Bombyx mori: one gene and its partner. The protein of the gene in region 1 interacts with the protein of each later gene in a biochemical or structural test. Links are inferred from orthologs where the notes say so. Each region holds a gene or a part of one and is shown on either strand. Other genes may lie near its edges.

The links. The genes of interacting proteins can lie anywhere in the genome.
Region 2: of the proteins of nucleosomal histone kinase 1 (region 1) and barrier-to-autointegration factor B, one has a biochemical effect on the other in vitro, tested with the Caenorhabditis elegans proteins (2 studies listed by BioGRID). The link is inferred for Bombyx mori from reciprocal best matches to the Caenorhabditis elegans genes vrk-1 and baf-1.

Annotation. Positions count from the first base shown.
Region 1 is NC_085109.1:14,103,515-14,111,089, reverse strand, and holds part of nucleosomal histone kinase 1, read left to right. Parts: intron 1-1,289; coding exon 1,290-1,359; intron 1,360-2,158; coding exon 2,159-2,355; intron 2,356-3,257; coding exon 3,258-3,474; intron 3,475-4,017; coding exon 4,018-4,191; intron 4,192-4,938; coding exon 4,939-5,600; 3' UTR 5,601-7,575. UniProt on the Caenorhabditis elegans protein: Serine/threonine kinase that phosphorylates baf-1, thus regulating the association of baf-1 with chromatin and nuclear membrane proteins during nuclear envelope formation. May act through the egl-17 signaling pathway.
Region 2 is NC_085118.1:10,678,839-10,686,506, reverse strand, and holds barrier-to-autointegration factor B, read right to left. Parts: upstream 4,296-7,668; 5' UTR 4,110-4,295; coding exon 3,984-4,109; intron 3,149-3,983; coding exon 3,002-3,148; 3' UTR 2,897-3,001; downstream 1-2,896. Other genes in the region: syntaxin 5A, read left to right, coding at 1,434-1,892. UniProt on the Caenorhabditis elegans protein: DNA-binding protein which plays an essential role in nuclear envelope formation. Required for normal chromosome segregation during mitosis. Associates with the nuclear lamina via its interaction with LEM domain containing proteins emr-1 and lem-2.

The DNA of each region.
Region 1 (7,575 bases):
CAATAAACAATTAATCAGTATTGGAGTTGTTATCATTATCACAGTAGAGGGTTGTGCGGACAAACCGTACAATATTCAAATTGTATTAATATATTTCTATGCAAAATAGGTAAATATTACTCTACACCAATACATTACAAAATCTCACAAATATTCTAGTACTACCTGTTCATAGATTTAAGAAAACTACCAAGGAATGATTCTGCAATAATGCAAACTGTTAAGTCAAAGATTTAGAAAATAATATTACTAGATGACCTGGTGTGTAAGTGAGGAACTGCAAATCTTTTCATCTTACTGCTATAATCATAAAAACTCAAGTATATCATTTACATGCTGTTGAGTGTTTTCACATTCTTGTTGGGATTGTATCTCTCGACTGTATCGATTTAGTAGATATAGAATTTATTATGGCTTTCAATAAAAAAGTTCAATGACATGCAAATTGAAATTAATAAATTTATATTTGTAATTTCAATCAATACAATTCAATACCATTTCAAGGTGCACCTTAGAATATTCAGCCTCTCAACATGCAAATGACTAAAACCACTTAAAACTGTAAAATTACTGCTGAATATATAAATCTGCATATATTTTGATGTTAAACTATAGTCGGATTTTTAATTAGACGAAGCCAGCTGACAGTAGCTAATGTCACTTTGTGAAATAATGTTGCTATATTTAAAGTAATAGTGATGCGTTCAGTTCTCGTTCAATCACATAAATGAACAATGAGTGTGAAGAGTTAATCATTAATTTCAAACTATAAAAGAATATTATTTATATTTTACAATAAAATTGTATTAAAGTGATCCAATATAATAATATGTTACTAGTAGTATGTAACTACAATCAGTTTTTTTTATTTTCATTACCTATGTACCTATAATTGTTATATTTTATACATCTATAGTTTCAACTATATGATGCATTGGAAATAGGACAGTCTTACAAGCTTCCTCGCAATGTTTTTCTTAATGTTTAAAACACTCGGTATTCAGTACAGGTAGATACCATAGGAACATAATGTTTCGTCGAAAACTCGTTGGTATGTACAAAGCACGACTAAAATTCGAACCCCGTGCCCGATATCGGCAGTTCGGCACACTAACTATTCACTAGACAATCGAGGCAATTTCATTAATTCAGGAGTTTTTTCAATCGTTCACTTTGTCACAACACTATTTTTATTTCATCAAAAACTGACAACACAGTAAACGTCAGTTATTTCGTCTAATAAAAAATCCGACTATAAATATATTTTGTGAAATACAATCTTGTTACAGGAACCTCATGAGAATGGACCCTTGTTTGTTGAGAAACACTTTTACCTTAGAAATGCCAACAAAGATGATAGTAGGTATTTGTCAAATGTACTAATGAAATTTTAATAAAAAGGTTGATTTTATTGACCTCTAAAGGCCACTAGAGATTTGTGCATAAAGCTTTGAGTTGAGGGGTGGCATTTTGCTCTGATGTTTAGAAGTCCTTACTATAAAAATTCTATTAGTAATATGGCACACACAGACAAAACCCAGCTTGTTTGACTGTGGATCTTCTCGCAGTGCAGTGGGTCAAATTCCAACCTGGTGGGTGAGTTTACCGTCCAACCAAGGCGAAGCCAGAATAGCTTGAGGCTAGAGGCAGATAAATAGGAATAAAATGCCTGCCTAACCATCCTGCCTATTCCTGGTGTGAAGCAGTTATTTGTCCAGTTTGATATTTAAATTAGCTTCTACAATATAATTGACACTGTGAAATGTGTCTTGTACCCACAAGATACCATCACTTGGTAGCATTCACATTGTCATGCTTATAGGCTCTGGTAACTTTTTTTTTTGCTTACATGGGTGGACGAGCTCACAGCCCACCTGGTGTTAAGTGGTTACTGGAGCCCATAGACATCTACGACGTAAATGCGCCACCCACCTTGAGATAAAAGTTCTAAGGTCTCAAGTATAGTTACGACCGCCACCCCATCCTTCAAACCGAAACGCATTACTGCTTCACGGCAGAAATAGGCAGGGTGGTGGTACCTACCCGCGCAGACTCACAAGAGGTCCTACCACCAGTAGAGGTGGGACTACAGGGGAGGACTAGTTGAAATCACTTTTGCAATGAGTTAATTCACCCATACCGCCCTATACCATTTCAGTTTCACAGTTTATGAAGGAAAGGAAACTAACGAGCCTTGGAATGCCGACTCATTTTGGCAGCGGCTCTCACATGTACAAAGGTGAAAAGTACAGGTACCTTATATTAGAAAGATATGGTAAAGACATTTGGAGCATTTTCCTGGAGAGTCAGAGGTTATTCTCACCGACTGCAGTCTTCCAATTAGGATCACAAATGGTTAGTAATACTAATATTTTATTTAGTGATGAAAACTTATTAGTATCTGTAGGTGGCAAGCCAAGTTCATGATTCTGGTCCTAAATGATTATAAGATTACCATAGACCTTAATGCAATCTAGTGACATCTGATAAAGTAGTACTAAGTCTTAATTTCAGTACTAGCAGACAGCCATATTATCATATTGATCAATACAGGTTCATAGTGTGATGATTTAAGCTCAATCCATGTGTTTAAACCTATACCTATAAATGAGATAGCATACCTAGCGTACACATTCTACATTTAAAATATTAAGACCAATTTTTTGGATTTGCTTATAAGGGTAGGTGAGCTCACATTCCACCCAGAAAGTTTCAATGTTCTCAGTGTTATAGTTCTGCAGCTGCCCCATTTTTCAAACTGAAACCCAATACTGCTTCACAGCAGAAATAAGTATGGTGGTGGTATTTATCTGTGTAGGGTCACAAAAAACCCTACCATCAAATCAAATCAAATCAAAAAAATTTTATTCAACATCCAATTCACAAAAACTAGCCTCCGCCCTGAGAAGAATTGGCAAGAAACTCAGCGGGCATGTCTTTTTTTTTTAAACATTACTTTTTTTTAATATTAGTCACTTATCTATAATAATGAAGTTTACTATTCAGAGCAATAGAGTAACCCGAGCTTTAATTGCACAGATGATTAGTTTAAATCTGCCTAAATATGACCAGTGTGCTATTGCACTATCTAGTCAGTCCAGGTGACTTTGTACCAGCAAACTGCATCATATGTTAACACATGGCTGCCACTAATTTCTTCAAGGCTTATGATACCCTAGTCCCTACATCATAAACATGAGAGTTATTTGGCAGGCAGTTGTAGTATTTTTTCTTAACCCTAAAAATTTGTTTATCAGCTAGACATATTAGAGTACATACATAATCGGGGCTATGTTCACGCTGACATCAAAGGAGCTAATATTCTGATGGGATTGAAGAAAGGGAAAGAACACCAAGCTTACCTCGTAGACTTTGGATTGGCTTCTCGGGTCAATGACAAAGAGTTCAAACCAGACCCTAAATCTGCCCATAATGGAACTATTGAGTACACAAGTCGTGATGCACACTTAGGTGGTGAGTGCTGTTATTTTTTAATGAGATGATGATCCTCTTATATTTTGGTTTCTCTAGTACATTGACGTAATGGACTAGAATGTTGCTGTGTCTTCATATCTCAAATCGAAATGTCAACCTATTTGGAATGGTGGCTGTACTAGTGACAGGGCATACCCATATGCCTGCTCTTTACATACACTAAGCATAATTTTTCTATTCTAAAATTCTTAAGTACATAATCACATTAGAGCCCAAATATATACTGCTGAGCATGCACAGATTGAGACCACTATTCTCCATTTCCACCACTGAGCAGTTATGCATTCAGAATTTATGAGCTCTACCTTATGCCTTAAAGCAATCGGCGTCATTGACGTAATGGTGTCTGGGTTGAGATAATGAACTCACCAAGTGGGCAGTGTAGTGGACACCTGGAAGACATGAAAAAATTTACTTCACTGATCGAGACATGAATAAAAACTTGGAATGTTTCGTACATTTTACAATTACTGCAAACTGTACATCAGTTCATCATCATATCTGCATAAATTTATATTTTAGTACCGACGATGCGTGGTGATCTAGAGATTTTGGGCTACAACATGCTGCAGTGGATAACAGGGGAACTGCCATGGGAAAAATCATTGAAAGAACCTCGTACTGTTCAAACATTGAAAGAAGCCTTCATGAAAAACGTGAAAGCCAACATCACAAAACAGTACCATGATGTTCCCGGTATGTTTAATCATGATTCTCCTGCCCTTCTCCCAGTCACCTGGGGTCAGCAAACATGTATTCTTTTTCCATGCTTCTCCATCATATACCATTTCTTCGCTCACTCCCCTCTTACACATATCGTATTTCAAGCAATCCATCCATTTTTTCTTAGGTATGCCTCTTCCTAAAATTTAATGCAATGAACAATTTATAAAATTTTAGTAATTATTCAACGGGAATGAATAAGTACAACATCTGACCTGTTTCAGTCACAAAGTTGTAATGTAATCCAAATGTAAGTGATAGAGTAATCTCTCCACTCTGCATTTATTTTTGTATTTGGCGTCCACCAGCCCTGCTCAATTAACATGATTAGTACCAAGGTTTTTTTATTGGTTAATTGGTTGGACAAGCTTATGGTCCACCTGGTGATTAGTGGTGACTGGAACCCATAAACATCTACAATGACAAAGCCCCCCCCCCTTTTAAACATGAGTTCTGTGTCTTAGTTATTGCATTACAGCAGCTGCCTTACTTAATTTTTATTACACGATGTTATTCCTTCACCATGGAAGTCAATCATGAACATTTATTAAGTAATTATTTTATTGGAAAAATTGGTACCCGCTACCGGGATTCGAACACCGTTGCCACGCTAGATACCGGACGTCTTAACCTTTAGACCATGATGACTTCTAAATAAATCTAACTTAATCCAATTCTACTTCGATATGAAAATATACAACTTTACCTATAATTTTTCAGATGCTCTAATAAAATTCTTTGAGTACATAAACACATTGGAGCCCAAACAAATACCAGATTACGCGAAATGTCGGCAACTCTTCGAAACTTACCTCAAAAAGGAAGGGAAAACAAAAACAAGTAAACTAGAATTTACACCAAAGAAAAAACCGAAAACAAGAACACAAGACAGCGAGGACGACAGCCTCAAAGAGAACAAAGTGACTAAGCGGAGAGGCAAGCTCACCAAAGTCACCACTGATACGGTTGCTGACGGACCAGAAAAAATTACAAACATCAGACAAACAAAAAGGAAATCCACCGAACCTGCTTTAGTAGTCAAAGTTAAAAAGACCAGACTAGCGCCGAAGGCCACGCCTCCGACCAAGAAAAATCACGCGAACATCGCGACACAGACCTCCGTTGAAAAGGCTAAAGGCAGACAAGTCTCTTTCGACAGTCCAATCAGTGAAGTGATCGGTGAAAAAAGTTCAGTGAATTCAAGTGGTGATATATTTGATGATTCATTCGTTATTGAAGAGAGGAAGGTTAAACGTCCAAGGAAAGTAGTAACCGATGAGCATGTCACTATTAAAAAGGTCGTTAGAAAGAGAGTTGTGAAGAAGGGCAGGTCCTGGAAGGACGCGCCTACCGTCGTCAACGGACGATCGCCCCCCACATAAACCACTCGTGTTGAAAGGGTTTTAGGGACAGTTTCAGAAAGACAACACCGATGTGGTATTTTTATATGAAGACAGATAATACTGAGTCATGCTTAAGAAATGTACAAGAGCAGATTGTCACGTAACATTGAACCAAAAATTGTGCATTTTTTTGAAATGTCCTTAAAATGTTATCTTTTATTACATTGCAATATACAAAGTTATTTGTTAAAAATAATAATTAATAAGACTTAAATTTTTAAGTATTAAATACAACATGTAAGAACCTTCACATCTGTTTCTAACAAACCTATACAGGAGACAGTTCCTGCTGCTACGAATGTTGACTGTAGTTTTTCTCTTTGATATAATGCAATAGAATAATTACTCTGGATTACTAAAGATATTTCTGGTATGTGAGTCTACCAGATATTCATATCCCTTTTTTAAAACGTTAATGTGTTGTTTGCTGTTATGTAGCATACATATCGTTGTTAGTATATTTCATTTTAATTAAGTTGTCAGTATTTCGAATGTTTGAATTTATGTTTTAAATGAAATGTTATTGTAATCTTTTGTGTACTTACTTTATACAAAAAAAAAATTGTTTTAAATTCCTAGAAAATAAAGTCTGATGTACATTATCACATCCCTTATGTTAAAAATTGTTTCGCTGCGTCACTTTGTATCGTTTTTAACATTATTAACGCGTACTAGCAATTTAAATAATGTTCACTATAGACTTTAATGAATGCAATGTCGGATCTAGTTTTCGCAAAAGTAATTTCTGTGTGTAATTGTTTTGTGCTTTTTGTATATATTTCCTGGTTCAACAAAAAAAAATTATATCATTTAAAAAAATATTGTTATACTAATTCATTTTCATGTAGCTACTATATCTGAGTCGACTATTATCAAAGCCGGCAATGTGACTTTTGGACAATTATTGGTAAATCAGAAAAACGAATTATTGACTTTGTATTCCATTGGCAGTCACAAAACTCTTCGGAACGACATCTTAGATAAATAACAGGTTAACTATTAACCTTTATTTAATGCAGGTTTTGAACCGTATTCTTTGAAGGAGACGATTATATTCAAATCAATCTGTATTGACATATCAATAACATTTTTTTGTCCAAATGCACAGATTGCCACCTTTGATAATAGACGACTCATCTTTAGTATAGAGATTTAGTGTTTTCATTTCTGGAATGTCACCATTGTTGTCCGTTGACAGAAATGTTTCGCTTATGTTAGTAATATGTATTTTTTTAAGTAATTTGAAATAGTGTAAACCACCACCGCAATAAGAATAGCACAAATAACTTGTACCTTAATAGTGCCATTTCCATAAAATAAGATTAAAATTTACACCAATGTTAGTGCAATGTTATCAAATAGTTCAATAATCCAAATATAAAATTGCACTTGTCAAATATATAGCACTAACTTATTGATTAGCCTCTTTTTTAGCCTAGTTTTGTACAAGTGAAAGTCCTAGCTCATAAAAACTAAGCTTTTATTAGTACAACATCTTTATTTCCTCTAAAGACATTTCAACACCGAAAACTGTGCCAATAAATAATAATTAACATAACGGAATTAAAATTATTAATTATAAACGAGTGAGCGTGTGTTAGTTTCTCGAGGAAAATATATAAATGATTTTTGCTCAATTCCCACTCAAATAAGGCTGGTGAATTAGAATTATAGCATGAACACACGAATTGTACAAAACTCCCAAGATAAGTAACTCAACTTTTAACATTGTAAGCCAACATGAAATAGTAATCGATCGAAATTAATTGTAATAATTTTTAAATGATTCATTATTAAAATCATTATACTTTTTAAATTGAATGCAAAAATTAAAGAATTATCTATGTAATTAGAATAAATTATATTATATTGTATTTGTATTGGATGACGGTCGGCCTTTAAAAGCACTACGAGGAAATAAACTTTATATTTAGATATTTTTTGAGGGCTAGTC
Region 2 (7,668 bases), on another chromosome or scaffold:
CTTCTTGTATACCTTACTCACAGGTGGGCTGAAGCCTTGGAGAGCAAGGGCGAGGCTCTTGCTGTGAGCCTTGATATCGCGAAGGCCTTCGACAGGGTCTGGCATAGGGCACTTCTATCGAAGCTACCATCTTACGGAATCCCCGAGGGTCTCTGCAAGTGGATCGCTAGCTTTTTGGATGGGCGGAGCATCACGGTCGTTGTAGACGGTGACTGTTCTGATACCATGACCATTAACGCTGGCGTTCCACAAGGTTCGGTGCTCTCCCCCACGCTTTTCATCCTGTATATCAATGACATGCTGTCTATTGATAGCATGCATTGCTATGCGGATGACAGCACGGGGGATGCGCGATATATCGGCCATCAGAGTCTCTCTCGGAGCGCGGTGCAAGAGAGACGATCAAAACTTGTGTCTGAAGTGGAGAACTCTCTGGGGCGAGTCTCCGAATGGGGTGAATTGAACTTGGTTCAATTCAACCCGATAAAGACACAAGTTTGCGCGTTCACTGCGAAGAAGGACCCCTTTGTCATGGCGCCGCAATTCCAAGGAGTATCCCTGCAACCTTCCGAGAGTATTGGGATACTTGGGGTCGACATTTCGAGCGATGTCCAGTTTCGGAGTCATTTGGAAGGCAAAACCAAGTTGGCGTCTAAAATGCTGGGAGTCCTCAACAGAGCAAAGCGCTACTTCACGCCTGGACAAAGACTTTTGCTTTATAAAGCACAAGTCCGGCCTCGCGTGGAGTACTGCTCCCATCTCTGGGCCGGGACTCCCAAATACCAGCTTCTTCCATTTGACTCCATACAGAGGAGAGCCGTTCGGATTGTCGACAATCCCATTCTCACGGATCGTTTGGAGCCTCTGGGTCTGCGGAGGGATTTCGGTTCCCTCTGTATTCTGTACCGTATGTTCCATGGGGAGTGCTCTGAGGAATTGTTCGAGATGATACCGGCATCTCGTTTTTACCATCGCACCGCCCGCCACCGGAGTAGAGTTCATCCATACTACCTGGAGCCACTGCGGTCATCCACAGTGCGTTTCCAGAGATCTTTTTTGCCACGTACCATCCGGCTATGGAATGAGCTCCCCTCCACGGTGTTTCCCGAGCGCTATGACATGTCCTTCTTCAAACGAGGCTTGTGGAGAGTATTAAACGGTAGGCAGCGGCTTGGCTCTGCCCCTGGCATTGCTGAAGTCCATGGGCGACGGTAACCACTCACCATCAGGTGGGCCGTATGCTCGTCTGCCTACAAGGGCAATAAAAAAAAAAAGCCCAATTTAGTTCTTTGAAATTTTACTGATCTATATTATACTGTTCCACTTTTTTTTCGTAAAAGTTCACCATATTTTAAGTTTAGCTGTTTAATTATGAACGAAATTAAAGTCAGAAAATTTTATGATGTAATGAACTTATAAATTAATGTTTGCAGGTCTTAGAAGTTCGTTCAGAAAATTTGAAGCAACAGAACAGCAGGCGTGAACAATTTTCAAGGGTGACACCGGTTGTAAAAGAGGTACCATCTCTATTGCAACAAGATGAAGTAAGCATAGATTTGGGTGAAGCTACAAGTTTACAAGCACAGCAATTTGCATTCAGAGATGATACAGACTCATATGTACAACAGAGAGCTGAAACTATGCATAACATTGAAAGCACTATTGTGGAGTTGGGAGGCATATTTCAACAATTGGCTCATATGGTAAAAGAACAAGATGAAGCTATTGGTAGAATTGATGCAAACATTCATGAGGCAGAAATGAATGTTGAAGCTGGCCACAGAGAAATATTGAAATATTTCCAAAATGTAACTGGAAATAGGGCGTTAATGTTTAAAGTTTTTGGGGTTTTAATATTCTTTTTCATATTTTTTGTGGTGTTTATGGCTTAATAAAAAATAACTATTAAAAACTTAATTATTAATTTCAATTATTTCTTTTCCAATTTAAATGGCATCCAAGGCCCACTTCTACATATATGCATGATGTAAACATTACCCTAAACTATGATAGATGAAATTAAAATATATTTGGTAATGATTTAACTTTGCACGGCCGCCCATGGATCAGTACTACTAATAAGAGCCTAGGGGCCCTGCCGCGCTTCTGATTATCGTAATGGATGCATGGATTAATTACTGTTGCACCATTGACCTTGGTATTCCATTGTAATATTATGATGAAATGTGATGTAATGATGCATGGACTAAACTGGTGATGTTATTATCCATTTACTACAAACATATACCACATATGACATTATACTGAATGTATTCCAACCAATACCAAAAAGAAGGTAGCAATTATGAACATCTACATGATTTAAAAAACATTACATTATTTACAATTGAAATATATTGTCTAAGCTTTTTAGATATGCTATAAAATAAATAACAATTGACGCACTTCTTATTTTGATCCCTTAATAATTTACTCCTGTCTCTAACATTGCAGTAAGATATTCTGTAATGATGCATTCTGCACTGAACGAATATATTTCTGCTATTCCAATGAAAGTTAATGATTTTCATTGAGATTAACTCAATGAAAATTACTGCACCCACTCAATACTGTGATGCTTATTGGCATCTAAACATTAGGTGAGTGATATCATATGGTTATGCAAATATAGGTCATAAAAATGACGCACTTCTTAGAAAAGTAGACATTCTAAGAAATAGCTTAATAAAGTAAAATAGTTGAAAAACATTATGAGAACATATATTTGATTCTTTTGCAAAATATTTGGATTACTATTTATTGTTTTATAAATAAATTCAAGTCATTGTCATAAATAACAGAAGACTTCGTGTTTTTCCAGCAAAGATTATATTTAATTACTCTTAATTGGGACTTTATTTCTTCAACATTTTTAAATATTAAATAATACAAATAATTATTGTAGAACATATATTTTACTTATGTAGTCTTAAAATTACATTATGTACATTATTTCAAACAATGCAATAATAAAATATAATAAATGTTATATGGATAAAAATTACAAAAACTCATCACACCAATCCTTCAAACACTGATAACAATCTGCTGACTGTTTAGAGTTTGCACTGCAGGCGTCCTTCATCCATTCTTGAAATAACTCTTTATCTTTCTTTAGTACCAAAAATTGACCCAAGACGACATAGGCCTGAAAATGGTAAGTGTTATTTTATGATACATAATATAGTAAATGAGAAAAATAAAAAGGGAACAAATGTAATTATATTATATACTAGCTGACCCGGCAGAATTCGTAGTGCCTCAATCGATGAATAAAATACATTCTTATTTTTATTTAATTCCGAGCATTTTCATATTTATCTACCTTTTAAACCTTCTCTGGACTTCCACAAATACTCCAAGACCAAAATTAGCCAAATCAGTCCAGCTGTTCTCAAGTTAGCGAGACTAACGAACAGCAATTCATTTATATATATAGATTTTGGTATTAAAACTGTTATCTTGCTAGTAATTTTAATGAAAATTGCATCCAAAATCTGAAGACTATGTAAGAATGAATTAATCTTGGCATTTTCACGAAACTAATACATTTCACATTAGGGTAACTAACACTAGTTTAATGCAGAAACATTACTGCTTTGTAGTTGTTCTTGATTTATCTTTTTTTAACACCTAGGTATACATGTAATTGGTCATCTTGGAGGGCAAGGAAGCTAAGCAACATTTTTTTTAAAGATTTTATTCCATAATTGATTACTGCTTAATAACAACATTCTTTATACGATTTCTATCACAATTAATCTATGCAGGATTTAATTTAACTCTTAATGAAATAGTACTGAAATTTATTCTCAAGTTTAAAACACCTGCTTAAAGATATTGCATTAAACAGTTTTCCGAGCAGTATATATATGTAAAGATCAATTTTCAATTTGATAAGATTATTTTAAAACATTTAGGATCACTTGAGCATTGATGAAACATACAAAAGCTGCACTTTTGAGATAAAATTATACTGTAACCTTATCGAAGCCCCCGGTTTCAAGTCGTTTTCCTAAAACTTCACCCACGCCCGCCAATTCTGTTACTGGTTTCTCACCCATTGGCTCAGCAACAAAGTTTCTATGTTTTTGTGATGTACTCGACATTTTCGTAAAAAACTTTGTTTATTGTACTTATAGAAAGAAACAAATTTTATATTTGTCTATCTTTACGAAGTTTATTAGTTTTTTTGTGTATTTTGTTGTCATAAACTTAATTAAGTGTACCCTGTGTACCTATCTCGAATATATTAAGTGTATAATCTATGGTACCTATGTTTATGTATTATCTATGGACTTTTTGGCGGGAACGCGAGGAGTGAAGTTGTGTGATTTGTTTTATTTTGTCTATTTAGTGTTTCTTCAGGTTTAAATGTGTAATAATGGTGGTTTATTAACTGTTTGATATCTGTGAAAGTGCACAAATGTGGGAAAATGAAACAAAGCTGCTGGACGTAACTTCTCGGGTTCCTCCAAAAAGTCCACTGAAAAAATCTCAGTAAATGACCACCATTTTACTGCGATTATATCTCATCCCATATCATCTCATTTCATTAAATTTCATCCCAGTTGATTAATGTTTCAAATTAATCATCTTCATTTCATTTCACTCCATATTATCATTTTTCATAAAATTAAGAATATAAAGTAAAATAAGACATGACTTAAAGGTCTTAGTTACCAGGTCATAAAATCTCTTAAAAAAAAATTTATTATCTATGGGACTTTTTGGCGGGAACGCGAGCAGTGAAGTTGTGTGATTTGTTTTATTTTGTCTATTTAGTGTTTCTTCAGGTTTAAATGTGTAATAACGGTGGTTTATTAACTGTTTAATATCTGTGAAAGTGCACAAATGTGGGAAAATGAAACAAAGCTGCTGGACGTAACTTCTCGGGTTCCTCCAAAAAGTCCACTGAAAAAATCTCAGTAAATGACCACCATTTTACTGCGATTATATTTCATCCCATATCATCTCATTTCATTAAATTTCATCCCAGTTGATTAATGTCTCAAATTAATCATCTTCATTTCATTTCACTCCATATTATCATTTTTCATAAAATTAAGAATATAAAGTAAAATAAGACATGACTTAAAGGTCTTAGTTACCAGGTCATAAAATCTCTTAAAAAAAAAAATGTATTATCTATGCTTTGTTATTTATTTTATTTCACGATTGGACTGGCAACGGGAACCTAGGCTTTTGTAATAAGGGTTAAAATATGAAATTGCCTTTTTGTTGTAATAGGTACTTCGAATTAACAAAGAGCCTTCATGGTTTGAGATTTTTGAGTAAAACTGTTGGAATTTCTATTTAACCGTCCAACAAAAACTTTTTACAAATGGTATGGTACCTATGAGGTTCTTCTTTTAAAAAAAGTGCAAGATTCGGTTAAAGACTTTCAGTTGTTTTTTTTATTCAGCTTAGACAAGAAAGATGGATACTTCGAAAATTCGAATGATTTTTGAATAAAAGATCCGACGCGGAACTAACGCTGCCGAAACAGCTCGCAATGTCAATGTTGCGTTTGGAGAGATGCCTGTGATATGAATTAAAATAGTATGTAAGATAATATTGTTGTTTTATTTGCATTCAACCATTATAATTTTATGAAACATTACGTTCATATTAAAATCAATACACCAGAATATTAATGACAGAAATGTTTTTAAAAACAAACGCTTATTAATGGCCAGTATGTATAATTTCGTGCAAGTAGGTTACGTTAGCTCTTCAACAGACTGCTAATGGACGCACCGTGCGATTTTGGTTTAATCGCTTTTAAGATGGAAATTTTGATTTGAAGAACGAACCACGTAGAAGACCGTCCACACGTGTGAATAATAATGAATTGAAAGAGATACATAGTGGAAGCCGATCCGAGCCAAACTACCCAGGAATTAGCGGCATGGTTTAACGTTAGTTACCTTAACAACAATATTGACTCATTTGCGTCAAATCAATAAAATAAAAAAATTCCTATGAAAAATGGGTGCCGCATGATTTGACTGATCTGCAGAAAGAAAGGCATGTTGAAACTTGTGTTGCCTTGTTGAATCGATACAGAAATGAAGGAATATTGGATCGAATTGTGACATGTGATGAAAAGTGGATTCTATATTCTACTCTAATTCCTAAATACTCATACAATAATATCATTATCGTCATCATCATATTCAGCCCACAGTCGTGCACTACAGGACATAGGCCCTATGACATGAATTTAATAGTTTTAAACTACTTATAGGTTGAAGCCTTTTTACCTAGATGTGGTAACCGCTTTTTTGTTGCCAGAACCTGTTTGTTTAAATACATCGATGGAAAAGTCAATCTATTATTACATGTAAGCTACAATGTAATGTTAAATTAAAAAAAAAATGTTCTCGTAATTAGAGAGTATTGATTGAATATTAAATTTTCTTATGAGATAGTACTCAAACGAAGTTAGACGGATGCAGGGTGGCGCATTTAACTCGGAGCGCATCTCGCTTTGCTATGATATCACACGGGTTGTCATCCTTAACGACTATCTGAAATCCACGGGTATGGCAACGACATGAAAGGAAAGTTTTAAGTTCTTAAAAAAAAAAAAATTGCTTAGATGGGTGGACCATCTCACAGCCCACCAGGTGGTAAGTGGTTACCGGAGTCCATAGACATCAACAACGTAAATGCTGCCACTCACCATGAAATATGAGTTTTAAGTCTCAATTCTTCAGTACAACGGCGGACGCATGCTTCAAACCGAAACGAATTACTGCTTCATGGCCGATATAGGCCGGGTCATGGTACATACCTACTCGTGCGCATTCACAAGGTGCCCTATCACATAACTATGCATCTTTTAATTTTTGTGAGTTTGCTTTTTATTTCTTATTGTTATTCCTCCACTGTGGAAGTCAATTATGAACACTTCTTATATACATACACACTTACGTATTTCATTACAAAAATTCGTACCTGTTTGCGGGATTCACAGTTGCAGCGTTTGATACGAATGCATCGGGAATCATATCACACTTCAAGAACCAAGAACTCCAAGACTAATGGCTTTATACCTTTTGTATCAGATGTACGAACGGAACAAATAAAGCAAAAGATAATTTCGACTCGTGCGGATTTTCAATTGTGGAACGCTAGAACTCAAGGAATGAAGTTGTATAAATTGTTATTGTTAGAACTGAACTTCTTACTATTTGTAACCATCATAAGTCAGTATATATATCCGAAGATTATTTTTATTACTTTATTAAATGTTAGTTTTATAGTCATTTAATTTAACGTTTCTTCAAGTTTAAATGTGTTATAAAGGTGGTTTCTTAACTGTTTGGTATTTGTGAAAGTACGCAAATGTGAGGAAATAAAACAAAACTGCCGGATGTAGCTTCTCGGGTTCTTCCAAAAGTCTGGTTATCATTTTTCATGAAATTGAATATACAAAAGATTAAGAGAGAGAGAGAGAGTATTCTTTATTGTACACCAAAAAACAAATACACAGTGCGATACATTAAAAACAAAAAAGTACAATTGGCGGTCTTATCGCTAAGAGCGATCTCTTCCAGACAACCATCAGGTGGACAAGAATCATTTGGAAACGAACTACGCGCGGTGTACCATTCCAGTGAAATACATATACATATATGTACACATACATATACACATACA